4 linked regions of the Alligator mississippiensis genome follow. The protein of the gene in region 1 purifies or fractionates together with the protein of each later gene. This does not show direct contact. Links are inferred from orthologs where the notes say so. Each region holds a gene or a part of one and is shown in the gene's direction. Other genes may lie near its edges.

Evidence for each region.
Region 2: the proteins of KPNA2 (region 1) and HECTD1 purify together in Homo sapiens (affinity purification with mass spectrometry; 3 studies listed by BioGRID, with this or other methods). This does not show direct contact. The link is inferred for Alligator mississippiensis from reciprocal best matches to the Homo sapiens genes KPNA2 and HECTD1.
Region 3: the proteins of KPNA2 (region 1) and CTDSPL2 purify together in Homo sapiens (affinity purification with mass spectrometry; 4 studies listed by BioGRID and IntAct, with this or other methods). This does not show direct contact. The link is inferred for Alligator mississippiensis from reciprocal best matches to the Homo sapiens genes KPNA2 and CTDSPL2.
Region 4: the proteins of KPNA2 (region 1) and KIFC1 purify together in Homo sapiens (co-immunoprecipitation; 4 studies listed by BioGRID and IntAct, with this or other methods). This does not show direct contact. The link is inferred for Alligator mississippiensis from reciprocal best matches to the Homo sapiens genes KPNA2 and KIFC1.

The regions. Positions count from the first base shown.
Region 1 is NC_081831.1:6,286,911-6,294,715, forward strand, and holds the start of KPNA2 (importin subunit alpha-1), read left to right. Parts: upstream 1-4,788; 5' UTR 4,789-4,872; intron 4,873-4,998; 5' UTR 4,999-5,045; coding exon 5,046-5,120; intron 5,121-5,277; coding exon 5,278-5,415; intron 5,416-6,099; coding exon 6,100-6,188; intron 6,189-7,093; coding exon 7,094-7,362; intron 7,363-7,805.
Region 2 is NC_081825.1:253,450,411-253,457,707, reverse strand, and holds the start of HECTD1 (E3 ubiquitin-protein ligase HECTD1), read left to right. Parts: upstream 1-4,289; 5' UTR 4,290-4,420; intron 4,421-4,982; exon of another isoform or gene 4,983-5,173; intron 5,174-6,168; 5' UTR 6,169-6,298; coding exon 6,299-6,438; intron 6,439-7,297. UniProt on the Homo sapiens protein: E3 ubiquitin-protein ligase which accepts ubiquitin from an E2 ubiquitin-conjugating enzyme in the form of a thioester and then directly transfers the ubiquitin to targeted substrates.
Region 3 is NC_081834.1:1,637,361-1,644,788, forward strand, and holds the start of CTDSPL2 (CTD small phosphatase-like protein 2), read left to right. Parts: upstream 1-4,411; 5' UTR 4,412-4,539; intron 4,540-7,428. UniProt on the Homo sapiens protein: Probable phosphatase.
Region 4 is NC_081834.1:64,871,727-64,878,698, reverse strand, and holds the start of KIFC1 (kinesin-like protein KIFC1), read left to right. Parts: upstream 1-3,963; 5' UTR 3,964-4,059; coding exon 4,060-4,137; intron 4,138-4,212; coding exon 4,213-4,369; intron 4,370-4,470; coding exon 4,471-4,521; intron 4,522-4,914; coding exon 4,915-5,107; intron 5,108-5,192; coding exon 5,193-5,391; intron 5,392-6,012; coding exon 6,013-6,159; intron 6,160-6,233; coding exon 6,234-6,362; intron 6,363-6,764; coding exon 6,765-6,881; intron 6,882-6,960; coding exon 6,961-6,972. Other genes in the region: PHF1 (PHD finger protein 1), read right to left, coding at 27-95, 349-444, 1,035-1,183, 1,268-1,377, 1,454-1,549, 1,711-1,792, 1,868-2,062. UniProt on the Homo sapiens protein: Minus end-directed microtubule-dependent motor required for bipolar spindle formation. May contribute to movement of early endocytic vesicles. Regulates cilium formation and structure.

The DNA.
Region 1 (7,805 bases):
GCTAGCCTCCCTCTGCCACCGCCTAGGAGGAGCATGTGCCGAGCCCCCCACGAGGGCCAAGCTCACCTGAACATCCACGGGGCGCATCCATGCCTGCCAGACAAGCGCAGCATCCCCAAACTCCCGCTCTGGATACAGGTTTCTAGCCATTAGCCTTGGGGACTTGTTTTCCTGCAGGAGAAAACAGGGCAGAACAAATAAAGCCATTCTTGGGAGCGGTACAAGGACCGGCACAGAAATGCAGCGTGCAGAAGGCAGGGTGGGCCGGGGCACCAGAACAGGGCATGGGTACACGGTGGCTATCGTGGGTGCACAGTTTTCAAGGCTGGCTAGCGTTCTTGTGATGCCTTCAAACCTTCTTTTCAAGGAGACTTTTTGCAATGTTGTTTTTCATCCTGAGAAATATAGCCATCGTTTCTTCTCAAGAGAAGAGTCTGCTGCTCCCTCGGGTAGTTTCAATTTCTTTTTTCAATTTTTCAACCCGGGCTCAGGAATATGAATACACATGCAAACCCCAATGGCTTTGGCTCAGTGGGTATAACTCCACTCGCTGAGATTAATTTAATCCCATAGGTTTATTCTTGTTTTGGGTTGGCTCTTCTGTTTTCATGCCGTTGTTTTCAAAAAATCTGCTTGGTGAGGTTGCTTCCTCCCACTATTTGATGGCGGATGGCAGGAGGATGAATCAGTTAATTAATTGATGCCTGCACGGCGCACTGAATGCAAAGCATTGTAAAATGCCAGGTGTGATAGGGAAGATCCCGTGGGCTGGGTGCCAAAACACATCTTTCCAGCCAGAGGAAGACAAACCATGTGGAGCCCTCCATCAAAAAGCCAGGCGCAGCACTGGGGCTGGCCCTTTGTTTCAGGCTAAGTGGCTTAGTGAGGATGATCGCTGTTCCAATTAATCAATGCATGTGGTCGCTCCGGTGCTCCTGCCACATGGCTCTGTAGCGAGGCACTGCTCAAGCCCAAGCACATGTGGGAGGGTGCTGCGGTCTTAGGGCTGGGTTTTGCCCTCAGTGGGAAATCTTGAAATAAAACAAAGTTTTCAGACATCTCTTTGTGGCTCATTGCTATGGCCAACATGGAAATGTTCTTCCTTTTAAATGAGTTGTATATCACGGATATCGCTCGTGTTTGAATGATTGTATCTGTGAAATTAAGGATTTCAACAGAATCTCCCTGGATGCAAAGTGTCTTGTTTTTTTAAAGCAGCTGAGCATGGTTTTTTGGGTGTGTTTTTTTATTATCACCATATTTAAGTTGTTTAAACTTCTCTACTAGTAAAGAAATGATCTGGCTTAGAGTCCAAAAGCGCGAGAGAAGAAAGCGCGAGAGAAGAAAGCGCAGGCTAGGTTGCATAGACGGCTGGAGGGAGGGTAGGGTGCGGTGCTGTGAATTATAACAAAGTTTCTTTTTTGTACGTGATTTATATCCGAGTCTCAGCGGATTGTATGTGGGGTCCTTAAAGAAAACTGTATACAGTCATAACCCCCGGCTGTGTAACACCCCAGCCCATGCTCCTATGTAGCCGCGTTGGGATGTTTCCCCGCAATTTCACTCCCTTTGGGGTATCCGTCGTAATGGCGGAGGAATGGTGGTACCTTTGTGCTGAGCAACAGGCCTACAAAAAGACGCTGCGTTTGTCCTGGGATAACCATTTTTATACCGGCACAAAGTACAATCGTTCACGTGCCCGTGTCTTGTCCTGGCATAATTCCTTTAAAAAAAACCATGAATCGTTATCTTCGGTGACTCAATGGCAGAAACGCAGCGGTGTGTCCGGCTGCTCCCTGACCCTGGCTCGACGCGCCTCGCGTGCGCGTACCAGTGCCTCCCGGTCCCGCTGGCGAGCGAACACTTGTGCAGCGTGCCCGGGGACAGATGTGGCACCTGCTCCCAGCCCGGCTGGATGATGACAATGTCTTTCCCATCTAGTAAAGCCTGACTAGCAGTAGCAAAAGCCCTGGGAGAGGACCGGGGGGAGACGTTTAAAGGGACTAAAGCCCTGATAAGCGGGGTTGTTCCCTGCTCCCACCAGAGCAACAAGCCCCCCCTGCACCGCCGTAGTTTGCACATCGCTGCCCATTGTTCAGCCCTCGGCAGCTCCCAGGCCCTTCCCCCGGGGCCAAGGGCGGCCCAGGCGCGGTTAAAAGCGTCTGCCGGCAAGGAGGAGGCCGCCGGGCCGCCGCAAAAACGTGTTTGCGGTACGACCCAGATGGGACTCGAACCCACAATCCCCAGCTCCGGAGGCTGATGCCTTATCCATTAGGCCACTGGGTCACCCGGCGAGAGCGGCGCGCGGCGCGTTCTAAGGGCCCCGCCCGCGCGCTCGCCCCGCCCCCGCCCCGGCCGCTCTCGCCACGAGGCCGCGCCCCGGAGTGGGCGGGGCCTAGCCTCCCTGCTCTGCGCTGCCGGCCGCGCGGGCGCGGGCGCGGGGCCGTGCACGGCGCTGCGCATGGGGCCGGGGTCTGAGTTTCCCCTGGAGGCTGCAGTGCGTCCGTTTGGGGCGAAATGCAAGCTGGGTGATGTCCTTCCAGGAAATGGGCTGTGGACAAGCAGGTGGGACCAGCTTCAGCCTCAACCACCTGCACTCTGCCCCTTGTCTGCCACCGGCTCTTCGGTGCTGCTGCCTGCACAGGAATGAGGAGTTGAAGAAACAAACCGCCTGCTCTGGCCTGAGATCAAGTGATCCCAACTGCGCGAGCCCCTCTGGAGGACTTGGGGACGGCACCGCCTCCCTGGGACGCGACTCCAGACTGCAAATAGCAATTCTTCCTTATGTCCAGCCCGAAACCAGCTCTGGCAGTCTAGGGCCGTTGCTCCTTGTCGTCCCCTGCAGACAGGTGGCTTTGTCTGCTTCCCTCTCGGCTACCCAGCCTCACATCACCCCTTTTTATTTTAAGACTTTTAAGAACTTTAAGAATCAGAACAAACTTTATTTTAAGGCTCAGAATAAACTACGTACAAAATAAGCCCCGTCTCAGAGTGAATAAATCAAGCCTTCTGACCCTTTCCTATTGTCTTTGCTTGCAGTGTCATTTCCCAGGGGCTTCTGGTCATCCACCTGTAAGCGACCCTGGGTTTTGGATCTGCACGGTCAAAACGCTCTAATTTAATCGATGCCTGTCGTTCTGGGTGAGATCTGGACAGCTGGGTTGTATTGCACAGGCTCCTGCTTGCTTGACTCCAGCCAGCTGTGTTGGGAAAAGTGTGCTCTGGATTCTGATCTTTTTTTGTTAATTCATAGAGACACGGGTTGTAGGGGCTGGAAGGGACCTTGGAAGATCATCGGGTCCAGCCCCCTGCACTAGGCAGGAAAGACAAGTGGGGTCACTGGCAACATGGAAGGGGTGCACGTGGGTGCACGTGCACCCCCTGGAAGTGCCAGCTGCAGAACCCGAAGTGCATTCCTGTTTCACCGCTGGCTCGGCAATTGGCCGCTGGGAGACCTCCGTCCCCCATTGGCAATCTGGTGCCCCCCAGACTCAGGAGGCACCAGTCACCCATGGTCAAGTGACCCCAGCAAGGCGACTGTCCAGTCTCCTCTTGAAGATGTCCAGCCTTTCCTCGTATGGCTTGCTGTGCCAGTCTCCGATCACACGAGTGGCTCTTCTCTGGACTCTCTCAAGCTTTGCCACGTCCTTGTTGAAGTGCAGTGCCCAGACCGGACGTGGTATCCAGCTGCGGTCTCACCAGTGCCAAGTAGAGCAGGGAAATCACATCTTTGGTTTTGCTGGAGATGCATGGGAAGCACTGAGGCTTTGCAGTGGAGAAGGCAGGTGCTGATTGTCTTGCAGCGTGTGAGACTCCTCTTCCAGGAGCTCTGCCAGGTGGCTGACAGCGTCGTTGTTGCTCAGTAACAATCCGGTTTCGATTGAGCTTTTGGAAAGCAGGGTGCCGCGTAACATCTCAGTGCCGCTGGCTTTCTTGGTCCTCGTCCCGCAGGGCCCAGAAAGGTTTCGCATATAAGGACTGCTGGGGTTGGTGTATTCTGCAGGTGCGATCAGGCAGCCCTGATGTTATTAGTGGTTTGGGATCCTGCGGATTAACAAGTGTTGTTGCTCCATCTCTGGGCCCGGCAGCGAGTATTTTTGTTGTCGTGCAGCGGTCGGGAGCCACCGTTCGGGTCTCATCCTCACTTCATCTACTCGAAATGGCCTCAGTCAGATCTGGAGGGGGGCCACACCACCCAGCCAGGAGTGGAAGCTGGTGCAGGACGCGGCAGCCTTCATGGGCCTGAATAATCCCTGCTCGTCACGGGCAGCGCTGTTCCCGTAGCTCAGCGCCCTAAAAGGCCGCTCAAGTCTTTGACATACAAAAAACTAGAACTCTTAGATCCAAAATGATCCCTTTCATTAGACCAAGTGGAAAATGGCAAGAAAATTGTCCTTGCACACTTTGGCTGCATGAGCTTCTTCCCTGCTTTCTGCTCGCTCTAAACCCGAGCTGTGTACAGTTGGGGGTGGACCCATGGGGGAAGACTACACCTCCCAGCATGCCTTGCTCCCCCTCCCCCTCCCCCTCCCCCGCGGGCAGAGTGAAGCACGGGCGAGGCCTGCCGGGAGTCGTAGTCTCCTTGACCCTCTGTCCCGCACTGCACGCCGGGAGATGCAGTCCTCGGGGGTTGTGACGCGACCGAGGGAGAGGGTCTCGCGAGAGCTCCGCTTGCCTCGCGAGGCGAGCTGGTTTTTTCAAACCGGCCAATGAGGAGGCTGCTGTGGCTCGAACGGACCAATAGCGGAGCGGGGCAGCGGGAAATTTAAATCCCGCCGGGGGCGGGGCCGCGGCGGAGGGGCGGGGTCGGCGGCAACGTGCTCGGCGGGTCAGTGCGGCGGCGGCCAGCGCGCGGAGCGGAGGTGTGCTGAGGTGCGGTGCGGGCCGGGGCCGGGGCCGGGGCCGGGGCCGGGGCCGGGGCCGGGGCCGGGGCCGGGGCCGGGGGGAGCGGGGGGATCCTGCGGCTCTCCCTTGTTCTCACCCCCGGCTTCCTTCCAGGTCTGCCTCTTGCATCCGTGCTGCCTGCGACGCCCCGACCGGCCCAGATGTCCGCCAACGAGAACGCCGCCGCGGCCGCGGCCCGGCTGAACCGCTTCAAGAACAAGGGCAAGGACACGACGGTGAGCGCCGGCCCGGCCTGGAGGCGTCGCTGGGTTTCGGGGTCTTTTTTTTGTCGTCGTTGTTGTTTTTTAATGTTTTGTTTTTTTTAAAGCGCCGCTTTGCACTTTAAAAATTAAAAAAAAACCAAAAAACGTGACAATTTCCTTTTCCTCTCAGGAAATGCGGCGGCGGCGTATCGAAGTCAACGTGGAGCTGAGGAAAGCCAAGAAAGACGACCAGATGCTTAAAAGGAGAAACGTCAGCACTTTACCGGACGACGCCACTTCTCCTCTGCAGGAAAACAGGGGCAATCAGGTACCGGCAGTGGCGTCGTAGGCGTCGGGGCTGGAAGGGACCTGGGGAGACGGGCGAGTCCGGCCCCCGCCCCAGGGGCAGGAAGTCAGCCAGGGTCACGGGGTCCCAGCAAGATGAGGGTCCAAAAGTGTTCCTCTGATTGCAAGAGGTTACGGCTTATTGCAGACTAGGGCTGGTTTCCCCCTTGGCGCTGAAAGTCCCGCGTGTACAGCGACTCCTTGCTGAACGCGGTCGCGTTCTTGATAAACGCGACGGTCGATCCGATTACGCTGGCAGCCAAACGATGGTATAACCGAGCGACTTTGAACGAGCGTGTTTTCTAATAGATCGTCAGCGTAGTAACGAGACTGCGTCAACCGGGGCGAGGTTAAGTGAGGCGTACCTGTACTCGGGAAGAGCACGCACCAACTGCAGGGCCATCCTCAGCCTGCCGAAGGGTTTTTAAACCCGAAAGCTTCCTAAAAAAGATGTTTTCCAACTATTTAAGTTGGTCAAATAAAGGATATCGGATTCGCCCAAAGAGCCTTGAGTACCTGTACAGCACCGTACTTACACCTGGTGCCTTACGCTTGGTGATGTCAAAAGCACAACGCCATAGATCCTTGCCAAAGCAGAGAGAAACTTCTTATGAAGTTTCTGCTTCTCCTAACGTAGTTCTTAAACCTGTTTCTGTCCCATGGACAGGTCTGTGCACACTGGTCTGTTGAAGAAATAGTCAAAGGAATTAGCAGTAACAACATAGAACTGCAGTTGCAGGCTACTCAGGCCGCAAGGTAAGCGACTTGGTGTAAGTGTCATTTGGTGACTGGGGATAAGGAACAGGGTTTAACTCCGCAGAGCACAAGCACCAAACATAAAGCTGAGATTTTGGCAGGCTAATATTGGGCAAATGTTGCTAATAGTAAATAAATAATGCTGTGTTATCTGGCCTCAGGTAAGTAAATGAGTTCTCTGGGCTATGGTCAGTATTCAAGGGACTGAGCGTAAATGGAATTACACAAGCGCTGGTGCTCTCTGACTGTTTAGAGGTGTCCTCTGAGCATGAGACTTCACCTGGCACTTGAGCTGTACTTTTCCTTCTGTCTCATGGTGTTAAGGGTGATGTGGATGTTGGAAGTGTCAGATTTTTTTATCCTCGGCTCTATAGAGGTGGCGGGTATTGCGATTTATTTGTAAGGCTGGAATATGAGATGCTAGTACTGAGGAGCATTCCCTCAGCTTAATGTATGAAAGTGGAGGTGAAAGAGGGAGGCTTTCACCCTAGAGTGTTGGTTCCAAATACAGCATAATAGTTGAAGTTTGAAAAGTCCTGCACAATGAGGTAGGAGGATGATTACCTGAGATGGTAGTGCAGCTTCTGGCAGTTATTGCCATTTACTTCAAGCAGTTCCAAGTGCATTATTACTTTTCCACAACCAAGTAGCTTGGCTTAATTTCAGATTTTGGTTTTTTTTTTAACAAACAGTTTCAATACAAAGCTGGATCTGTCAAAAGCAGTCTTTAAACCACTTAATGTAGTGTTCAGCTAGTCTTTATTGAACTTCTTTGGATGTTTGCCACTGTTGGAAGAATATCTTTTTAAAGTAAAACTTGGGTCTTCTGCTGACTAAATTGGAATCTACTGTTCAGGTTGTAGTAGACCAAAAAAATTAACTCCCTGTGTTTGTTTCTGTCTTAGGAAACTGCTGTCCAGAGAGAAACAGCCCCCCATAGACAACATAATTCGGGCTGGCTTGATCCCCAAGTTTGTCTCCTTTTTAGGGAGAGCAGACTGTAGCCCTATTCAGTTTGAATCTGCTTGGGCACTTACTAACATTGCTTCTGGCACGTCGGAGCAAACAAAGGCTGTGGTAGATGGTGGAGCCATACCAGCTTTTATCTCCCTGTTGGCTTCTCCTCATACTCACATCAGTGAACAGGCTGTGTGGGCTTTAGGAAACATAGCAGGTATGTCAGTGTGCTGCACTTACATCATTTTCAGGCCAATTAATTTATGAGGGAAAGTCACTGGGGGCCAGAGTTTCAAAATTGTTCATGTCTTCCCTGCCTAATATGGAGAACTCTTCCAAAAATCTGAACCTGGGTGTCTAGCAAAAGAAGCCTGGAACACAAACCTGGAGCGGGTCAGCTACAGCTGCTTGTCTTGCTTTGGCTAGCAGTTGTATCTACTATGACTTCAAGCAAGACTTGGTAATCTATAGGGTGTTGCTATTTGACAGGACTCTTCTATCTTAGTGCTGTCTGATCTTTAAAGTCTTCTGAGGAAATTCTGCTTAATCCTGAAACTGAAATCTGTGAGAGAGGGGGGCCTTTTGGGAGGAGATAACATATTACTTTGTGAATGCTAGGTCATCAAAGGAGCACACTAGCAAACCACGTCACACTAGTGT
Region 2 (7,297 bases), on another chromosome or scaffold:
CTGGGAGGACCTGAGCAGGGTCAGTTTGCCTCAAGTGGCACAATTTGCCCCACACCAAAGTGCATGTTCAGGCACATGTGCTGAGGCACAATTCTTCGGCAGAAATTTGTGCCACTGCTACTTAAACTGCTGCAAGCACACGTACCTATATGTGTTAATGTACTCTCTGGGTTTATTTTGTGAATCATGTTTGTACATGTAATGGTGCTAACATTGTGCAGCACCCTGCAGAACCCCTGAAAGGATCTCAAGGCACCCCAGAGTGCCATGGCACCCTGGTTGAGAATCACTGTTCCAGCTAAATGCGATTTATTTCCAAATATAATACTGAGCACTTACATAGCACCTTCTACCTGAACAAGTCAATATCTCTCAAGAGGTATGTCTCACAACTGCCCTCTAAGATGGCTATTACTACACTCCTCTTATTTTGTAAATGACAAATTGAGATATACAGAGAGTAAGGGACTTGGTCAAACGTACAAAGAGGTGAGTGCCACACACAGAATTAGAATATAGGCCTAGTACCCACTGCACTTACTAACTAGGTGAACCATGTGCAGTGAACAATTAATTTAGCTCTTCATGTGGTATTCATGAGCAGGATATAATTTTTTACCAATTTGTTTACTATTCATGAATGTTTAAATAGCTTTTACAAGCTAAAACTAATGTGATTGTTCTTTCACATGATTTCATATTCAAATTCTGTCACTTGTCACATGGTATTATGTTCCCTATTTAGAGGAATTAAACTTTATAAATGACTTCTGTTTGAAACTAGTTTAATGATTAAACAAATCTTAGCTATAGGCTCAACATTTTCTTTTTGAATATTCATGTTAGCAGAACTTTGCTCATATGAAAATTCACTTAAAGCAAATATGTATGCAAATGTAATTGAGGTAAATATTTTTTACTAATCACCCATCTCTATTTCCCTCCACTAGCCACTTTTGCTTCAACTTAAATGTATTATAAAATCAGTCAGTTTTGAAGATGAATAGTTAGTATGTTTTGGTGATAAGCAGAGACAATATAAAACAATTATTTTGAGAGATGTCAATTCCTGCAAGTAATGTAATGGAAGATTCTCTCATACTTATTATGATACAAATTTGAGTCAGGGCTCAAATCCGGAGGGGATGCAGTGGTGAGATGTACCTCCCCCTCTTTCGTTGTGCCACATGATCTCTTGCCGTGGGGTCCGGCTGGAGCCCATGAGGTGAGTACAGCCCCTTGTCCCCTCCTTTATCCAGCTGCTGAATTCAGCAGAGGAAGAGGGATGGAAGGGTGAACAGTAGCAGCCTTCACTTCAGCCAGTCTGCCCTGATTGGCTAGTGAGCTCATGGCTCACTGCTCATGCAGAGCTCCAAGACTGCACATTCTTACTTTTATGTTAAGTGAAAAATCCCTTGACCACAATGGATAAGCATAAGGTTCCACATATGCATAAATCTCTGCAGGGCTGGACCCAGTGACACACTATCAACATATGACACACAGATTCAACTAACTTTGTTATTGGAAAAACAGGACTATGAACCTGTTTTCCTCCTCTTGAGACAGACTTTGAATAAGCAAGAATCTTTCTACAGGCAGGATTTCTGAACGAATAATGTGGAGTCACTGGCATATGACAGGTTCCAACTGTGTGAGACAGCATGACTGCTGCCACTGCCTTTTTGTCCTCTGAATACACCTCTTCGCCTAATGACAGGAAATGTCTATGATGTAGGCAGTAATGACATTCAAACATGCTATAATCTTATTTACAATATTTATATTATTAAGCCTCACATGACTAAGTTTCCTAACAAAACTCCATGTGATTCTACAAAGTAAATTATTGTGAAGACTTTTTGGTCCTTAACACTAATTTCAGAGCACTTTGCTTCCTTTGTTTTTAGAATTATATGGGACAATTGTGTAACTATTTACAGTATGTACTAAAGAGACTATTGAGAGACACTGCTATGATAATATACATAACCAACAAATTCTGAGGTTATAAATTATGGGCAAAATCAGGCCTCTGGTGTGATAGTACTCAGACTTTGTCACAAAAAGGCGTGTCCATATAAGAAAATATTATTGTGTTTGAAGGTAGCTGTAAAGGATCAAGTTAGCTTGATACAACACGGTCTATGGTTGATGGTGTTTGCAGAATTGGGTCCCAAGTAATTAAATGAACAAAAAGGCAAATAGCCTGAGTTAAACTTAAGGGTAGTAAACTCAGTAAAAAGGCTAAATAGTGGGCAAATAGGGATGAATTAAAGAATTAAACCATAGCAATACACACAAATACATATGCACACAAAGAAAATAAACATGGAAACCTTGTGGTACATTCTTTTTCTTCTTCCATTTTTTGTCAGCATATCATTCATGTAATGCCTGATCTTTCAGCTGCTTAAATAGGACCCCTTGTGAATGAAGTTGCATACATGAATGAATGCTTACAGAAACAAGTTCTTAGATTAGAAGGCCTCTGGGGCAAGGATACATCTTTCTACATTTGTGTTGGGCCTACCACACTATTGTATGGTACATAAAGAATTCATTATACCTTCAAGGAGAGCTGTGAATGTTAATTAGTTCATGTCTGCACAGCAGTTTGAAACAAGAAAAGGGCTGGATAAATGCTATTTAACTATTAATAATATTATGTGATTGAACTATGTTTAGAAATCACGTGCTGTTCGGCCTGGGCTAGTACTTTGAAAAATGGTTTTCAAATAGCTATGCCTTACTCATGATGACAAGATAAATACTGTTTAAATCATATCAGCATGAACTACGTGTAGGGTAATAGACTATAAAGCCTGAAGGGATTGTTGTGATCCTCTGGTTTGACCTCTTGCACAACAATAGCCATATGACCTAGCTGTTTAGTTTTAGTTTGAACTAATTCTCCGTCAACAGAAAGTTTTTAGATGCAGGATAGACAAATATTTTCAGAAGAGGTTTAGATGGGGATCATCCTGCCTTCAGTACTGGTTGGACTGGATGACCTCCTGAAGTCCCTTCAGCCCTATTTTTCTCTATTTCGTGATCACGTATTTTATAAAAAATATTAAAACTCTTTTTTTAACAATGTATAGTGGAGAATCCACTACAAACCTTAGTAATTATAATTTCAACTCTTATTCCAAGTCTGAATTTGTTTAGCTTCAGTTTGTAGCCATTATCCACTAGCCCAGCGACTCCTCTTTTTTCAAATTTCTATTCTCTATGCAGGTACCTCAAAACTAGCAATTCTCAACTTGGGTGCCATGAGAACCTTTTAAGGATGCCCCACAATATTAGCACTGTTTGGTGTACAAACACCTACACAATTCATAAAATAAACCCAGAAATTTCAAATAGGATGCTCACCTTGCTGGGGTCCCAGCAGTCTTTCCTGCCCAAGCGCAGTGGGGCTGGGTCCGATGATCTTGTGACGTCCCTTCCAGCCCCTAACATCTACGAATCTATGAAACCTGGTATCAAACATCTCTTTACATTTTAAATGAAAAAACTTGCCAAGGCCTGATTAAAAAAAAATAAAAAATAAAAAGATTGATGAAACTGAATGTGCTGGTAGAAAATGTGTTGTACAGAAATGTTCAGCCAACTGTACCTAAAAAATGCCACCAAAAAAACTTTGCCATGCCTCTTCATTGCTTGCCCTATTTGAAAACTTCAGTGTCAATAGGGTACAATTAAACTCCTGGCAAATTTCCCCTCCCTCTAGTCTCTTCTCAACTTTTGTGTGGTCATGTCTCCCGGGAGGAGTGAAGGTGGAAGGAAGCAGCTTTTCCTCACGGCTGTAGAGAAAAGCCTGAGAAGCCGTGGTCACCTCTGCAGGCTGTTTTGGGGATGTGTGCGTGCGGACTGGTCCGTAGTTAGGGGTATCTGCCTGCCTGTCACTATGGAGTGGGTTCTATCCATACATCCATGTATCTGTTTGTGTCTGTGTCTGTCTACCACTATGTACGTGTATCTGTCTGTGGTTACAGACTGGACTGTATCTATCAGTCTGTTACCGCGTATGTGTGCGGATCTCTGGATTTATTGCTGGATCTGCGCCCAGTATCTGGGCGGATAGGCGCAGCCCCCAGGGGCAGGCAGACGCGCGCGGCCCCGCGATGCGCCGGGACTGGCTGCCCACGGTTCTAAAGCCCAGTCCTGGGTTGGGAGGCAGGTTTGCCGGCGCCGCGCGGGGCGGCGCGGGGCGGGGGCCGAGGCCGCCGGGGGGCGGTTCGCGGCGCGGGGCCGGGGCCGCGCGTGACTGTGAGGCCGGCGGCGCGGGCTCCTCCCCCCGTGGCAGCGGCGCCGCTCCCCTCCCGCAGGCCCCGCCGGGCGGAGCGCGAGGGAAGCCAGCCGCTCGCCGCCGCCTCGCGGCCTCCCTGCGGCCCTAGGAGCGCCCGAGGCGCGGGTGAGTGCCGGGGGACGGGCCTCGTCTCCGCCGCCAGTCGGGTCCCCCGCGCGGCCTGCGGCCTCCCGCCAACTCGAGCGCCGCTGCCGGGCCCGGCCGGTGGGCGCCGCCAGGCCGAGGCCTTCCGCACGCGGGCGGGCGGGGAGGGGGCGTAGCGGGGCCGGACCGGGCCGGGCCTGGTGCGGGGCGAGGGCGGCTGCCTGGGGCTGCCCGGAGCGCGGGCGTGGGGGGAAGGCAGCAGGTGTTCAGCCGGGCCCAGCGCCGCCGCCGGGGCGGGGAATCCCCGCGGGCTGGAGCCGGGCCCGGCCGCCCCGGCGCGGAGGAGGCCCCGCGTCACGGCTGCGGGCTCCAAGAGGGCTGCCCCCTGCGCCCTCCTGGGCTGAAGCTGCCACCAGCCCCGCACCGGGTCCCGGCGGGCGGCGGACTTTGCCCGGCCGGGCCTGGCTTTGTGGCTCGGCCCCGCCGTGCGCGCCGCCCGCGAGCGGACCCCGCGTCTCGGCCTTTCATCCCGGGGAGGGGGCGGTACTGGCCTTCAGGCCGCGCTCGTCTTGTTTTTTCCTACCTGATTTGATTACGAGGTTTGGAGCTGGCGCCCCTTCGCTGGGGGCCTGTTTCAAGCCTTTGTTGCAGTTGCGGTGTCTGGGGGAGGCTGGCTCTGAAGGACGCAGCTTACAAAGTTGATGCAACTTGATTTAGTGGTTCTCGAGCTCTTGTTTTTTAGGCGCAGGGCATCCCAGCTGTTTTCCCTGGACTCTTGATTGCAGAAGAGCAGAGCATTTCTGTGGCAAAGAAGTCGGGAAGACCATAGCTAGGGGTTTCTGTGTGAGCTCTCCGGGTTTGTCTTGTAAAGCACATTTGTAATCCTAACCGTGCTGATGTTGGATGGCACCTTGCAGCACCCTTGAAAGGGTCTCAAGGCACAGGAGGGTGCCGCAGATCCCTAGCTGAGAATCACTGGATTAATTGGACATTGGATAATAGATAGGCACACAGGACATGGCTCTAATAAGGTACTAAGAAAGGGACTTTTGATCTTGGCCAGTTATGCAGCGTGTTTATTGGATCGGTAAATAGCACCATTTGCCATGTATGCCTGCTCCTGCCTCTAAACAGTTTTCCTTATGAACATACAATTTTCTGTATATTTGAAACACCACCTCAGCATGTCATTTAAAAGGCAAATGTTTTGAGATCTTCATTCTACTCTTCTGGTCCTTTTGTTTAGAAATCATATTCCCCTTTTTTTACTTGTTATTTTAGAAAATTAAACTATTTGGAAATGCTGAGTAAACATTCCCTTTCCAGCATCTGCCTCACTAAATTTATCTTTCATGCCTTTTCTGAATGGGTACTAATCGAGAGAGAGAGAGATCCATTTTCTTTTATAGAAAGATCTTTCTGAGAGTGCAGAAATGCTCAACTCTTGGGAAATTACACTTTGGCTTGAGAAGGTAAAATAATTGTTATTCTTCAGATAATACTTATCTGAGAAACTAGCTTACAAAGATATAACAGGTTAGGAAGTGCCGTTCCACTCCTGCCTCCAAGTTCTAGTTTTTACTAAAAATAGTAATAGATTAAAGCTTTCATCATTGTCTCTGGGGAAGAAGATTCCACTAAAGTAGAGCATACTAACTAACTCTTGTCATTTAAAAAAAAAAACTGGTCATGGTTAATGTCTTGTAAAATCTTGAGTGACACAAATGCAAGAGATGAGTATATACTTATGAGTTGCTTCTTTTTTTTAGGTGAAGACTGCAAAAGCCCTGGGTCTGACTGAAGGGAAAATTTCACTGTACTAGATTTACTCTGGCTTGAACACTTAAAGGCTATTTTTGGATACTTTTTAATTAAAGCAAAAATCAACTTTTATAAACCATGGCAGATGTGGATCCAGACACGTTGCTTGAATGGCTGCAAATGGGGCAAGGGGATGAAAGGGATATGCAATTAATAGCGCTGGAACAGCTATGCATGCTGCTTCTGATGTCAGACAACGTGGATCGTTGTTTTGAAACGTAAGTATGGTTCCTTTTGTTTGTGTTGGGAAGAGTAGGGACTTTTTTATCCATTGCGTAGATTGTGTCAATTTTATTTAACCACTTCTCCTTATTAAGTTTATACAAAATTGGACGTGGTAAACTAGAACCTTTTGCACTCTTGAAAATATGCAGAACAAAACCTTTACATCTTTGTTCAGACCATACCACCATAATATCATGACTTCCTTTGCAAAATAAACATGTCATGCTAAGAAGTGTGACACATTGAGTAGCTGATCCTGGCACGTCTTGGCTGATTCATTTCTAAAAGGCCTCTTGCAAGTTAAAAAAAAAAAAATAAAAAGTTCCTGTTTTCTTTTGTTAAAGGGAATTAAATTATTTAATTAAATTATTTTGACTTTTTTAACCCTAAAATTCAGGGTTTTTTTATTTATATTAAAATGCCTGCATCACTGAAGTTTTTTTCCCTTGCTCTAAGACGTAGTAGCACTTGCTTTGAACTTTGCAAGCCAAAAAAATTAACATAACTGGCTTTGTCGCTTAGGACTGTTACCTAAGTATCTGTGGCTTATAACAACTTATTGTAATAACATTACTCTCTGTAAACGCCAAGTAATGGTTTTGGAAGGTAGGCATTTTGATCTTAAAAAAGAAAAAAATAAGTAAAAATTGAGCCTTTAAAACTTAACTTAGTGGGCGTGTCCAGATGAGTGTGGCTGTGAGGAAGTGGGGTGGGCAGGTGTGGCCAGGCCTGGGACCGTGGGGCTGTGGCCTGGGGCAGAGCCATGATCCGCTCCCGCATGCCCCTTTGATAGACACTGGTTACACAGGTAAGAGCGTGTGTGGAGCAGATTGTGGCTCTGCCCCCAGCCCC
Region 3 (7,428 bases), on another chromosome or scaffold:
CCCAGGGGACTGGGTACAAAGGAAGAGGAAGTGACAAAGCGGATGATGGAGCTATGGGTGAGTGGAGCCGGGACTGATGACAGTTCTGCTGCTCAGCTGGCGCAGTCCTATAGTAGTTACATTTGTCATTAATAAACTGTCTGCCCCCCCATACCCACAATTACAGGGCAAGCCATTTTAAGCAGCATGTAGATAGAAGGATATTAAAATGTGAGGAATCCAGTCTATTCTATCCCCTATAAATATTTTATTAAATTACGGTATTGAAAATGGCCACTTAAAAGGGTTCACTCAAAATCACATGAGTATGGTATTTCAAACAATAAATTCTGTTAACTACATTTTTGCCTCCTGTTTTTCTACGAACTGAGATAGATGTGCACGTAGAATACTATATAGAATAGATCCAGGGCAGGGTCAATAGAAATCCACAGACAAGAGGAAAAAAATTATTATCCTTGGAACCCATGGGTCTCCCTGCTGTTTCAGCATGGACTTTTCTGGTTTGCACAGAATGTCTTGTCTACAGTAGAAACAGTTCACTTGTACAGCTGTTAGCAAACCCATATTGGTGCAAGTTCTTTTGCTGCTATAACTCATGTTTGCAGGACTGGTGTAACCATGTTTACAACACAGTTTTCCCTGCATTGTTAACTATGACATGATTTTTTTCACATCCTAACCAAACACAGCTACGTGAGCTAAACTCTTAAATATAGATTCAACCTTAGCCTTTGTTTAAAAAATAATCTAGTTCCTCTGACTACATCCACATTAGACTTTTGTTCAGAAGTAACACTGCATTACAAGTGCAGGCAAAGCATTGGCATTTCTAACAGAGATCACACAGGGGTACTTCTTGTTCTTGGTCAGAACCAGAAGCTTTATAGGATAGCTCACAAAAGCTGTAGTAAGCACACATTGAGTAATATGTCCCTTGATCCTGATATCTAATCAAGATTGCTTTATGCCCTGAAACACAAGATTTAATATCCCTTCCAAATGGTCATTAATTATGAAAACCCTGGATATTTTTCAGATCTATATAAATATCTGTGCCTTTTAAAATATTTATTGCCACCTGTGGCAATGAGCAGCACCATTACTCATGTGTTGTATGACCAAGTATTTCCTTTCTTCATGTTTAATGTCCTGATTTTTAAAAGTAATTGAATATTACCTTCATCTTACAACACTGGATAAAACCATGTCATCCAGCCCAGTTAATTTGTATTAACAGACTACCAGTTATCTTAAGTAAGCTTCAAAGTGCCTATGCTATATTTTTCACTGCTAATCACACAAGAAGTAGCCAATTAATGTGTTTCATGTGGCTGGTGATAGTCTCATGTTTTACAAGGATAAGACTATAAGTTTTGAATATGCAGGGGATTAAATTACTTCCATTATTTTTATAATTAACCATCTATTATCCTTGAAAATTAGAGCAAAACTGATTTTATATCTTCTGTTAAGGAAATATTACACTTCTACAGTGCAGATTCTATAAAGCTTGGCTCTACAGCAGCAAAGCAGTTCAATTTAATAAGCCAATAAATATTTTTAAATGACTCTCCCTTTGCCTTTATAATAGTGTCCAAATTTAGATTAAAAAAAAAGAGTAAATCCAAGTGGAATAAAATGTAGAAAAAAAAGAAACAACATTTTTTCCTGTTCCTTTGCAGTCAAAGGTCCTTTGGCAGAAACATTCTAATTTCTGCAAGAGACTGAAAATATTTTTTGCTTCCATGAAATGCATTAGTCTGAGAATTTGAGATGAAGATTTCTCTTAATAGAAGCTTGCCAATAAAACAATAACCACTAATGGAAAGAAACATCAGACAGACACACAGTTTGTAATTGTAAATTCCTCACAAACTAGTGTTTACTGTACACTTCTTTTTGTCTGCAAGATGTTGATGAGGCACTCCTTAACCAATGCAAATACTGTTTGTAGCGTCTGCAGCTCTTCGTAAGAAGAGGCACTCCAGAAAGTTGCGATTAACAACATTTTCCATTTTTATGGAACCTTTTATGAGAGGATCTATTCTTAAAACAACAATTCAAACACCACAACAACCCAAAGTAGAAAAATATCACAACAACTATTTTACAACTTGGAACGATACGGTACCTACATGTAATATAAGCTGCCCAAAGATACAGAGCTCAAATCAGAGGGCAGAAACAGAAGGAGATATCCTACTATGCTCTTTGACATGTCACTGTCTTGCTTGCTGGCTAGCAATTTGTTAATAAGTCTTAGGAACCCCAGGAAACAAGGAAATTTGTCAAAATGAATGGCATATTGTACACTGGTACAGTTTGAGATTGTATGACAGGATGCAGCTCTTATCCACCCCACCTGCAAGGCTTCCAAAGGCCATTACAGCACATCAATACTCCGTCGAGTTTTTTCTGCACCTGACCTAGACCCAGAAATGCAGTCAGTGCTGATCTCAAGCCCTGACAACCCCATGTGTAGGGGTAGGCCCCAACAGCCAAGGTGTGCTCTGACAGGAACCCCACTGGAGAAGTGCTCGTGGTGCGGCCCTGTCAGATTCCAACGAATCTGTGAATTCTGCCTGAAGACCTCGTCCCAGGTTTGCTGCTTGAGTCCTGTGAATACCTTGTCGCTACAAGGACAAGAGAAGGAAGGAATGAAGGATGGGAACCCCAGTACTGAACAGTCATCCTTCCTTTTCCTCCCATTGTGTGCCAGAGCCGATAGCATATATTTTTTTTTCTCCCTAATGTCAATGGAGAAAATAGGTTTTCTGGTCAAATGCACTCAGTAACCTAAACCCCAGACATGCAGAGACCCCTGTCCTACCACCTCCCTGCCACGAGAATTTCTACGCTACAATTCCCAACCCACACAATTTCTCCACCCAGAAGCACCTAAAAATGGTAAGGCACTGTCTTTCCCCTACAAAATCTTTCCCAAGATTTTGCAGGGGAAGTGTATCAACAGCAAAACATTAGTCCTCCCCATAGTCTTCTCAATACGCCAAGATTTCTCACTTTATCCAGTAAGTCTCTTCCAACGAAATCCCCCGCACTTCTTACAATTTGTATTCAAGAAAAAGGGCGGGTTCTTCATTCCTATTAAATAACGTTCTACTGCAAATTGCTTTGTTCCCAGTGTTCAGTGTAGTTGGCCGCTTGAGTTAAAGCCCACGTCTTCACTACCCAAAGCTGAGGGAGGGGAGAGTAGGGTTCATTAAGACAGTCGATTCCTGTTAGTTGTCACACTACAAGACTCTTGAGGAAACAAGACACCAGTAGTGTTTGCCCTGAGGTGGGAAGGCAAGATTAATGCAGTCCCCCCCTGCCAGGACTGACATCAGCGAGCTGCATCAAGGTAACGACAGAACCCCACCGCGGCGGGATTTTACAGCGAGATACCGAACGGCTGTAAAAATCCACGGCACCTTTTTGGGCACAGACACACAGCCGAAGCCTACGGGATAGTCCAGCCTGCCGACATGAAAAGTATGAACTTCTGTGTCTTCAGGAGGGTTTTCTCTCCCAAACACAACCCGCCACCCTGCCCCGAGGGGAGGCACAGCTTCAGTCCTGCACCTGCGCTGCTCACCTTCACCGCCCGGTCCATCTGCTCAGCGCTGCCTTCTCCACCTCACTGCCTGCCTCTGCCTCTGCCTCCTCACCAGTTTTCCTCCAACATCCGGCCCTTCTGCTTGCACTTGGGGCCACTCTTGGGGGGGGGGGACGGCTGTGGGGTTCCCACTCGCCAGCAGCAGGCGATAGGAGCGCCTGGACCAGGGCTGTACCCCCCGAAACTGTGGGCAAAGGGAGGGGGAGTTGGGGGGCAAGAGCTAGCTGGTATTTACAACCCCCCCATCCCTACAGCACCGGACCCCCACTTCTCACCTCACCCCCCACACAGCAGCACACGGCCCCCCCCCCCATGTGGGGTACTCGCCTTCCCGCCCACAGCACAGCTCCCCCTTCACACCCAGCCCCCACACCCCGCCAGGCACCCTCCAGCCCCCCCACACCACTGAGGTACCCCGTGAGGCACTACCCCAACTCCATGACGAGCCCCCTCAGCCCCGCACGCCTCATGAGGTGCTCCCTCGCCGCCCCCCACACCTATGAGGCCCCCCACACCCCATGAAGAGTCTCCTCAGCTCCCCCCACACCCTACGAGGTGCACCCCCGACACCCCACGAGTCCGCCTACACCCCGAGGTGCCCCCCCCCCACGAGGTAACCCGTCACTGCCCGCCACAGCCCGTGAGGAGCCGCCTCACCCCGCCGGCCGCCCGCGGCCCCACTGAGCGCCGCCCCGCCCCCCCCGGCGGCGGTGTGCGCGTGCGCGGGCCCCGCCCCCATCCGGGTCCCCGGTGCGGTGCAGCAGGTCGGTAGGCGGGAAATGGCGCCTGGCTGCTGAGCGGCTGCGGAGCGCCGAGCCCCGGCGGCGGCGGCGGCGGCGTCAACACAGCGGCGCCCGCCCGCCCCCCCCCGGCCCCCGGCGCCGCCCGCCCCCCCCCGCGCCGCCGCCCCGCGCCCGCAGGTGAGTGTCGCCGCTTCCCTCCCTCCTCCCGGCACCGGCTCCAGGTGGCCGCGCTCGGGGCCTCCCCGGCGTGAGGGGACGCGCCTCACTCCCGCCCGCCGCCCGCCTGTCACCCCGGCAGGCCGAAGCCTGCGGGCATCCCCCCCCCCCCCCCCCCAGTGCTGCGCGCGCCTCCCCGCCCCCCACACCAACGGCTTGTTTGGGGGGAAGCTGCCCCCCCCGCCCGCCTCGCAACATGTGGCCCCTCGATGGAGGCAGGTTTGGGAAACACTCCTGTGCCCCCTCGCAGTGGGGGACCGCCGCCTCGATTTGTAACGACCGCGCCTCCCCGCTTGTGTATGCGTGTGTAAAAAATAACAGTGAGGATCACTGTGCGGGACTCGTCCGTCCGTCCGTCCGTCCCTCCTTTTTCTGTTGTTGTTGCCGCCGCCGTTACGGCGAAGCATTCACGTCCGTTCGCTAGCTGCCGCTGCCTCGGGCAAGTCACTTAACCTCTTCCGCCGGCTCCCCGTCAGCGAAAGGGGAGGATCGCCGCCCCTCGCAGGGTGCTGCCGCACGAGTTAGTGTTGCCCGAGGGCCCCGCGCCAGCGTGGAGCGAGGGGTTGCTCGTTAACTCTCCCGGTGCGCTGACGGGACAGCTCGGGACCTTTTACACACGGGCGGACGGACGGACGGACGGACATGGGCGTGGAGAGATGATGGCTGACCCCGAGTGCACGTCGAGTCCGTGACGGTCGGTCGGTCGGCCGGCGGGGGGGCTTACGGCGCCCCATGTTTTATTCTTGTGGTCTGCTGCATGCTGCTGTGTTTACGTCTGTAAAACCGGCAACTTTTCCCCAAAGATCATCCACCCCCCCCCCCCCCCCCCGAAGTTACGATTGTGCTTCCGAGTTGGATGGTTAGAAAGGCCGAGAGCACGCCCGACCGCCGCGTCTCGCCTACCTGTAGATACTCGAGATGCCGTAAACGCTCCTTGCAAGGCAGCTTCCCAGTCCGGGCCAAATTCATGCAGATTACATAAGTCATTCTTCACTTATTTCACCCGCCTCAAAATATATAGTGTGGTATTGTGGTTGAAACTTAATCCTTTTCCCGCCGGCCTCAGGATAGGGGCCGAAAAACGACTACATTTGACTTCGTAGTTATTTCCCCCTCTACCCTACATCAGTGTTGTGAGGCTTCGCATCGCGTTATTAGACTTTTTTTTTTTTTAAGTTGTTAAGGGGGTTCAGAAAGTAGTGTTGTAATTTATTTTTTAATCTTAAAAATGCACATGCAAAGTGATGACTACTTTCCATCTTGAAACCTACGCTCAGCCTAAGGGGAGAAGAAGCGTCGCTATGAAAGAGGTCTTGTTCTGCTCATAGAGACGTGGGGCTGGGAGGGACCTCCAACCCCCATATTCTCCAAAAATGACATAAGACAAACTGTATTGCTTATTGGCAGGTAGGCAAGCTGACTAATGTTCTCAGTTCCCTTTTTAATAATGCTAATTCAAATATACTCTTCAGCCCTGCAGCATCTTTCATTATATATTCCCCCCTCCATAGTAGTTTTTTTTAATGATGTCCATAGGTGTTTGTCTTTGCTTGATCCATTGTTTAGTGAAAACAAGCAAATATTAAAACTGGAGATTATCCTGCTACTCTGACTTGTAGGAGTAAAACAAGTATTTTTACATGAAGCTGTTGGGAGGGGGTGCACAGTGCAGGGGAAGACCACCACAACATGCCTTCGTAATAAGGAGGAAAAAAAAAAACAAAAAACAAAAACCAACAAACCAACCGTGTACAGGTGGAGTAACAGCAAAAGATGAAACAAAAAGGGTTTGATCACTAGCTGTTGTAATTAGTTATCTTGAAAGAGCATTAAACTCTTATTCAAAAGCTCTTCAAGTTAAGAGGAAGAAAGAGGAGAATCCCAAATAAGGATGATTGAAATTTGTCTCTACCTAGAACTTTTGTCACTTAAAAAAAAAAAAAAAAAAAGAAAAAGTATGTTAAGTGATGTCATGCACACTTATATGGACTTGAGTATTTTCTGAACAGTTCCTTTGGATTGTCTGAGGTTTTCAGGAATAGCCAGTTTGTAGAGTGGTCTGTTTGTGGTGCAGAGCAGCAGATAACTGGTTACTTTGGTTTTCACTTATCCTCAGCCACATAAGTGACCTGTCATCTAGCTAGAAATTGGTTGTGGCACACTTTAGGACCCATCTAGTGATTTAATAGAAGTGCACCATTTGCCCCGTTTTGGCTGGTGTTCTAAACCTAAGGTATCTTGGTCTCAGTTTCCATATGGTGAGGAAAACACAAATCTCTGCCCCAAAGCTATCCCATTAGTAGGGCAGTGCTTTTTGGTAGCACCAGTTACGTCTAGTAATGGCAAACAGATTTGAGCTTGTTTCCTGGCACTTAAAAGGGATGTTAGGAATGGTTACTTACCTTCTTTTTTTTTGGGGGGGGGGGCCCATGTGGAAATCAGAGTTTGTCTTCTAGCAGTGTATTAAAATATTAGCGATTACAAACAAACTAGTATTATAATCTAAACTCAACTTTACTGCTTCATGGGATTTGAGCTGTTCCCTAACCCTCAGTCTGCTCATTCTTTGGACTGTCCCTAACCACCTACTGCCTGCATGTTTATTGTTTTTACATTTTGCTCCGCCAGGCCAAGTACAAGAGTCAATACAAATAGGACCTTAATTTGTACTTTATGAAAAGTTATCCCAAAGCCGTCTCCTCGGAGTTCCATATTCCCATTTTCCCCTTCTTTTCCCCCCACTCCTCCCCCTCCCCCCCAGCATTTTACTCGACTCCTTCTGATTCATTAGTATTAAGGAGGTAGTATATTAATCAGTATGACCTGTTATCAACCTAGGAAGTAAAGGAG
Region 4 (6,972 bases), on another chromosome or scaffold:
AGGACAGAGGGACTGGGGTCACTCACCATCTCAGGGGCAGTCTGCGCACGCTCTCTGGGCCACCTGTGCAGACACAGCACTCAAAGACATAGAACCTGCAAGAGACCCGCACCAGGGACCAGAATGAGTGTCAGCCCAGCACCTCCAATCATGGACACCCCCACCCCATGATGAAAGAGCAGCGTTAGCCCAACACCTGGCACCCCCAACCTGAGGGATCTTAAACACTACACCCTACCTCCACCATCGAGCAATGAGGTGGCTTCCTGGGCTGCATGCACCCCCCTTCTATGGGACAGGACAGAGTGAGTACCCCCGCACTGGGGAAGCTCAGCGCCCCCGCCTTACCTGTCACCATAGAGCAGCGGCTTGCTCAGGCACTGGGTGCAGGCCTCATGGAACCACTGGGCGCAGCGGCAGCACTGCAGCATCTTCAGGTTCCACCTGTGGGAGGAAGCAGGAGGGCAGCAGGCTGAGTGCACAGCCCAGCCCTGCCTCATCTGACAGGTGTGCACAATTGCTGCCAGGACCACTAGCTTTCCCCCCCCACCTCGCTAGTCCCCAGCACCCATGCAAGGGAAGGCCCCAGGGCTCCCCACAATGCGAATCCTGCTCCAACCCCAAAGTAGCCTTGATTCCAAATTCTCCAGCTTCATTGCCTGCTTCTGAGCCCCATGCCACAGGCTGAGCCCAATCTGGAACCTCCCCAGCTCATCCCCTGGGATGGTCCCAGCCTAAAATCTTCAGCCCCAACACCTAGTGTCCCCCGTCCAGAACGTGTTGGCTCCAGCTCCAGGGGTGCCCCTTGAGGGGCCTGCACCCAGGCTGCCACTCAAGGTAAGAACTCCCCGCTCTAATGCCTGCTCCAGAGTTTTGAGCCCTGCCCTGGACTCCAACTGAGCTAGTCTAGACTGGTGCCTACACCAGGATGGACCCTGACCTAAAGCCTCTGGGAAACCCCCCACCACCCCAGAGCCAGCTCCAGGCCCTTCTAGATCTGGGAGACCCCAGGGAGGAAGGGGAAGGACACGCACTCTCCCGGTCCACCGCAGTAACAGTAGCACTGCTGCCGATTAGTCAGATGCACTGGGTCCCACTCCAGAGCCTTCAGCTCATATGGCAGCACCATCTTCATGCTCAGCATGGCCTTGGCATAGGGGCCTTTCTTGAGGGCACCGCCCCTCTGCTCAGGAGAGAGGGAGAGTATCAGGCCAGGAGTGGGTGCAAGGGGCACAGGGGTCAGGAAAGGGGTGGGGGTCCAGCTCACCTTGGTGGCCACAGCGAAGACGCACTGCCTGCACGTCCAGGTGCCAGGCACTCCTGCCCCATTGCCACCAACCTCCAGCACTGTGGGCAGGTGGCACTCCTGGTGGTAAGCTGTGGGGGCAAAGCATAGATGAGATGGGTGGCAGGGTAAGGGAGCCATGGGGCAGGGGCCAGGAGCCACACTTACCATGCCCACATTTCTCACACCGCACCAGCTGGTTCTCTGCGCTCACAGCCTCCGTGTAGCACACACAGCAGGTCTGCTCCTCACCAGGCACTGCCGCTGCAAGAGATGACAGAACCAGCCCCATGACTGCCTGGGGGACCCAGTGGGCAAGGGTTGGGGTGGGGGGAGGGAGTAGAAACCTGTGATGAAGCCCAGGCACCACATGGGATGCTGCTAAGCCAGGCCCCCGGCTGGGGTCTTGGGAGCCAGCTGCTTACCCGGGTTGATGTCCTTCCAGAGAACAAGAAACTGGGAGTTGTCCTCAAACTGCACCAGACAAACCTGCCGCGAGCTGTCCACCTGTATAGGGAGAGCGGTGTGAGGGGGGGTGGCTGTGGGGTCTGGCGGAGGTGGGGGCCCAGGCCCTGCACTCACCTTCTTGATGGTGCCCAGGTAGAGCAAGCCATCGGTCCAGCGAGCCAGCACATCCTGCCCCTCCCAGAAGCGGGGCCGGCTGGGAGCGGGGACCGGGGCTGTCGGGGCACCTGCTGGGCGCTTCCAGGGGCCGGAGGCCAGGCGTGAGGTCGTGCGCGTCACCCGGGAAGACTGGGTGGGCAGCTCGCTCGCCATCACATTGTGACCAACCTGCTGCATGCAGCGAGGGTCAGTCCCAGCTGCCGAACCTAGGAGTCTGAGTCCCCCTCCCCCAAATCCAGTTGCCTCCCTCTCTCCTTCCCATGGTGTGGTTCACTCCACCCCACTCAAAGGCCGCCAGCTAGGTGAGGGAGGACAGGCCAGGAGTGCAGCAAGAGGTCTGAGCCTCCAGGCCTGGTGCTGGAGAGCTCTTACTGTGGGACACGTCTCTCAAGTGCAGGAGCTTCGCAGAACCTGGAGGATTTGTGGGGCTCCCAAGAGGTGTCAGCCTGGGGCCTCTGGCAGGTGTGGGGTTTCGGGGAGGTCTCAGCCTATGCCCTCTCTGGCAAGCGTGGGGTTTGGGAGAGGGAGAGGGTCTTAAGCTCAGGTCCCCTCTGGCAGGTGTGGGGTTTAGGGAGTCTCACATCTAGGAGGCTGGATCTGCTATTTGGGGGAAGGTCTTCCTTATGTGAGCCCCTCTCTGGGGATCTGTGGGGGCAGGACCCTGGGACATGGGGTGGTCTCTGGGGCAGGGTTGGAAATTTGGAGGTGGGGCCTCCAAGGTGGGGTCCGTGGGGTGCCCTGCATGGGAGGTGGGAGAGTGTTTCAGACCAGGGACCCCCATCAGGGTTGGGAGGCAGGGGTCTGGGCTGAGAGCATCTCAGGTGCAGGAACTCCCTGAGGTCTCTGACTGACTGGGGGTGGGTCACAACCGGAGAAGGGGGGCACGGTGTCGCAGGGGAGCCCCTTGCCTCTCCTTCCAGGATGGGGGAGGGGAGCTTCCTGCCCCTGGCCGCTCCCGCCCTTACCAGGTCTTGGTGTCTCCTGCAGGGGTGGGGGCTGGCACTCCCCAGTCCCCGGCCGGGGAGGGGTATCTGCGGGCCAAGAGGCCGCGGGGCCCTCAGGGGCTAAAGAGCAGGACCCGCTGAGGCTCCATCGCAGCAGCCTGAGCCCAGTGACGCAGCAGCAGCAGCCGCCGCAGCCGCCGGAGCAGGGAGGAACAAGGGGGGATGCGGAGAGACGCCCGGGGAGGGGACCCCCCCTAACGCCCCCCTCCTGGCACTGCCTGGGACCAGGCCCTTGGCACCCTGGACCCCTCCCCAGGCCAGGCCAGGCATCGTCTGCAAGTGCCCCCTCCTGGCACTGGGGGCAGCCCCTTCCCCACTCCTACTGCCTGGGGATGGGGAAGGGGATGGGACCGGGTCCGGGGCTGCAGCCCCATGCTCCGACAGGGGAGCCAGTGCAGGAGCCAAGCAGTCTCCTCCCACCCCAGGCCCCTGCCCCACGCGCCCACCCCAGCTCCCCCCTGCTCACAGCCCCTACCCCAGCAGCATCCCCGGCCGCCCCGGTCACCCCTCCTTCACCCAGTGCCCCTGGTGCACCACCCACTTCTCCTGCCAGGCCCCCCCCATCCCCTCCCACCTACCCCGTCCCCGCCCACTTCCCCCCAAACTGCCCCATCTCCCCATCTACCCCCCAAACTGCCCCAACCCCTCCCACCAGCCCCGCAAACTGCCCCGCCTCCTCCCACCCTAAACGCTCCATCCCGTCTCTCGCCCTCGATCCCCCCCCCCGAACTGCCCCAGCCCCTCCCACTTCCGCCCACCTGCCCCGCCCCCACCCCATAACTGCTCCCACTCAGCCCCCCCCCCACCGCCCCCCGCTTCCTGCACCTGCCCCGCCCCTCCCTCTCCTCTTTCCCGGCTCCACCCCCTCCCGCCCTGCGCAACTGCGAGCGGCGCTGGGCGCGCGCAGGGCACGTACCCCCCTCCCCTCCTCCAGCGCGCAGGCCGCCACAGGCCGGGCGGGGCTGGGGGGCGGGGCGCGGTGGGAGCGGATTGGCCGCGGGCTGCGATTGGCCGCGGCGCGGCGGAGGGGGCGGGGCGGGCGAGCGCGCGGGATTGGCTGCGCGCGGTGGCGGAGGCGGGGCCTATTTCAAATGCGGAAGGCGCGCGCGCCCAGACTCCGGCTCCGCCATCGCCTGCGCCAGCGCCATGGACCCGCCGCCCGCCTCCCGCCTGCCCGTGCCCAAGCGCGCGCCCGCCGCCGAGGCCGCGCCCGGCCCCGAGCAGGTAGGGACGGGAACGGGAACCGGGGCGCCCGGGCCCCGCGGCCGCCGCCCCGCTCACGTCTCCATCTCTCCGCAGAAACGCGCCCGCCTGCAGCCCCCCGCCCGCGCCCGCCCGCCCCGCCGCCTCGCCAGCGCCCGCCCGCAGCGCCCCGGATCGGCGGCCCCGCCCGGCCTCGCCGGCCGCCCGCTCGCCCCGCCGCCGGGCCCCGCCGCACACGCCGCGTCTGCCCCAGGTACGGGCGGGGGAGGGGCTGGGGGCAGAGCCCTTCCCTCAGCACCCGGCTCGGGCCTTTCCCGCTCCGGGCCTCCAGCCTGCCTTGCTTTCCTTCCCCAGGGGCCGCCTCCAGGCTAGCCGTGGCCGCAGCCACAGCCGCTCCCAAGACAGGTAACCCGTCTCCCGCAGCTTCCCGGCGGGCGGGGCGGGGCGGGGCGGGGGGCTTAGGGAGCTCGGACGTGGGCAGGAGGCCCCGGCGAGCTGGGTGTCGAGGCACTTTATGAAGATGGCCGTTGCGGGTGCCTAGACCACCCTGGGGGAGCCTGTTCCAGCCCCTCGGCGCTTGGCTTGTAAAGAAGCTTTTTCTTATGTCTAATTTGAAACGATCTTTGATCAGTTTGTGCCCATTATTTGTCCTCCCCTGCAGGGCTTGGTGAATAGATGTTCCTCCAAGCCCCAATGTACTTATAAGGTGCCACCAAGTTCCCCCTGTGCTGGCCTGGCCGGTTGGGCTTCCCCACCACAGTCTGCGCCCCTCCCCCCCAATCTCTCTCTCTGCCTCAGGCCGTGCCTTGGAGCTGGGGGGTGGCAAGAAGAAGCGGGCACCCTGGGACCTGAAGGGCCAAGTGAGCGACTTGCAGGCAGAGCTCAAAATCTACAAAGAAGAGGTGCAGCAGCTGCGCAAGGGGGGCCAGGAGCTGGAGGAGCAGAGGCAGGAGCTGCTGGCCCGTAACGGGGACCTGGACCGCCAGCTCCAGTAAGAGGAGGGTGGGGTGGGGTGGGGTGGGGGCAGGAGCAGCCTGATGCGGACGGGGAGTGACCCTGGCCCCTTGCACTTCTAGGGCTGTGAAGTCCGAGCTGCACGTGTCCCAGGAGCAGGCCCAGCAGCGCCTCGAGGAAGTGAAGGAACTGTCGGATCTGAAGCACCAACTGGAGCAGCAGCTCACTGACACCACTAGGACCAACAAGGAGCTCGAGGGGACCAACAAGGACCTGGAGATGGCTAAGCGGGACCTGTCAGCCCTGCTGGAAGCCAGAGAGGTGGGTCTGGAAGTTGAGGGGTCCATAGAGCAGCTTGGCTCTCCTTCCGGCCCCAGAGCCTCTGATGAGGAGCTCTGCTGTCCTGCGGCCTGCCCTGGGGCAGGCAGTTGTGCTCATCGGCCCGTCTCCATTGGCACGCTATTCCATGCTGTGTGTGTGGAGACAGACGGTGCTGCAGCTCTGACAGATGAGTACAATCTGCAGCTTGACACGCAAGCACAGTTTCCTATGGCAACATCTCTGAGGCTGTGGGCACCGGCTGTAATGGCACCAGGTTCTGCTCCAGCATCACATTCCCAACGTGGCATTTGTCACAGTCCCCTGGTCCAGGCCAGGCCAGTGACTCTGTATGGTGCTGCCTTCCCTGGCTTCCCTTATTGCAACCATGGCACCTCTGCCAGAGCCACAAGTGCCCTGCTGTCATAGGCAGCACTGCCCCAGGTTGCCCCCACCTGTCCCCAGTAGCCCACTTTGGCCATGCTGATGGCCACTCGTATCCAGTGAGCCCATGTGTTAGCACCTGTCAGCAGGTCATGGTGATGCCTCAAGCTATGGCCTCCCATGCCCATCATTTCAGACAGTTCTGAGCCAGGGTTAAGTGACACTCGGGCTCTCTGCTAGGGGGACCTGGCTCAGAGCACACAGGAGAACAGGGAGCTGAAAGCCCAGGTGACAACCCTGCTGCAGGCTGCAACGCAGAGAGAAGACCAGTTGCACCAGCTGGAGATGGACCGGCGGCGGCTGCACAACCTGGTGCTGGAGCTCAAGGTGGGGCTGGGCCCAGGGCAGATGGGTGGGAGGGCACTGGGATCCTGGGCTAGACTGATGCATCTCTTCCACAGGGCAACATCCGTGTGTTCTGCCGTGTGCGGCCCCTGCTGCCCTCTGAACAGGAGGCGGGGAAGGGGCTGGAGCACTTGCATTTCCCCCCACAGGACAACGGAGCACTTGTACTCTCCCGGCCGGAGGAGGTGAGCCAGGCAGGGGGGTGGGGGACAGCAATGGGCCTAGGTCACTGGGCACCAGCCACAGGCTGTCTGGCCTCAGTTTGGAGATGCCCCTGCTCCATGCAGTGTTGAAGCCCCCAGGGGTGCTGGCAAAGGTATAATCCATTCCCTACAAAGCTGACCTGTTCCCTGGGGGACCCCTGTGGGTTGCTGCCCATGCTCAGAAATAGCTTGTCTGCAACAGGTGAGGATAGCCACAAGCTGCAGAGTGATAGCAAAGGCTGAGGTGGGGAGAGTGTCATGCCCAGGTGCAGCAGCGCAGGCTTCCTGCCCCATGGGTACTCTCTGGGCTACGGAGTGGGGGGTCAAAGAATGAGGCCCCCTGGCTGATCCCTCTTGCTCTCCCCTGCTACCTGCAATCTTCAGTCCCACACCGGGCGCAGCTGTAAAGGCAACACGAGGTACGACTTCAGCTTCGACCGCGTGTTCCCCCCAGCCTGCTCCCAGGCGGATGTGTTTGAGGAAATTGCACAGCTAGTGCAGGTATGAGTTGGGCTGGGCCAGGCTGTGGGAGGAGGGGGCTGTTCTCTTCATAACCCCTCTCCCCTGCTCCCCTCTGCAGTCAGCACTGGAT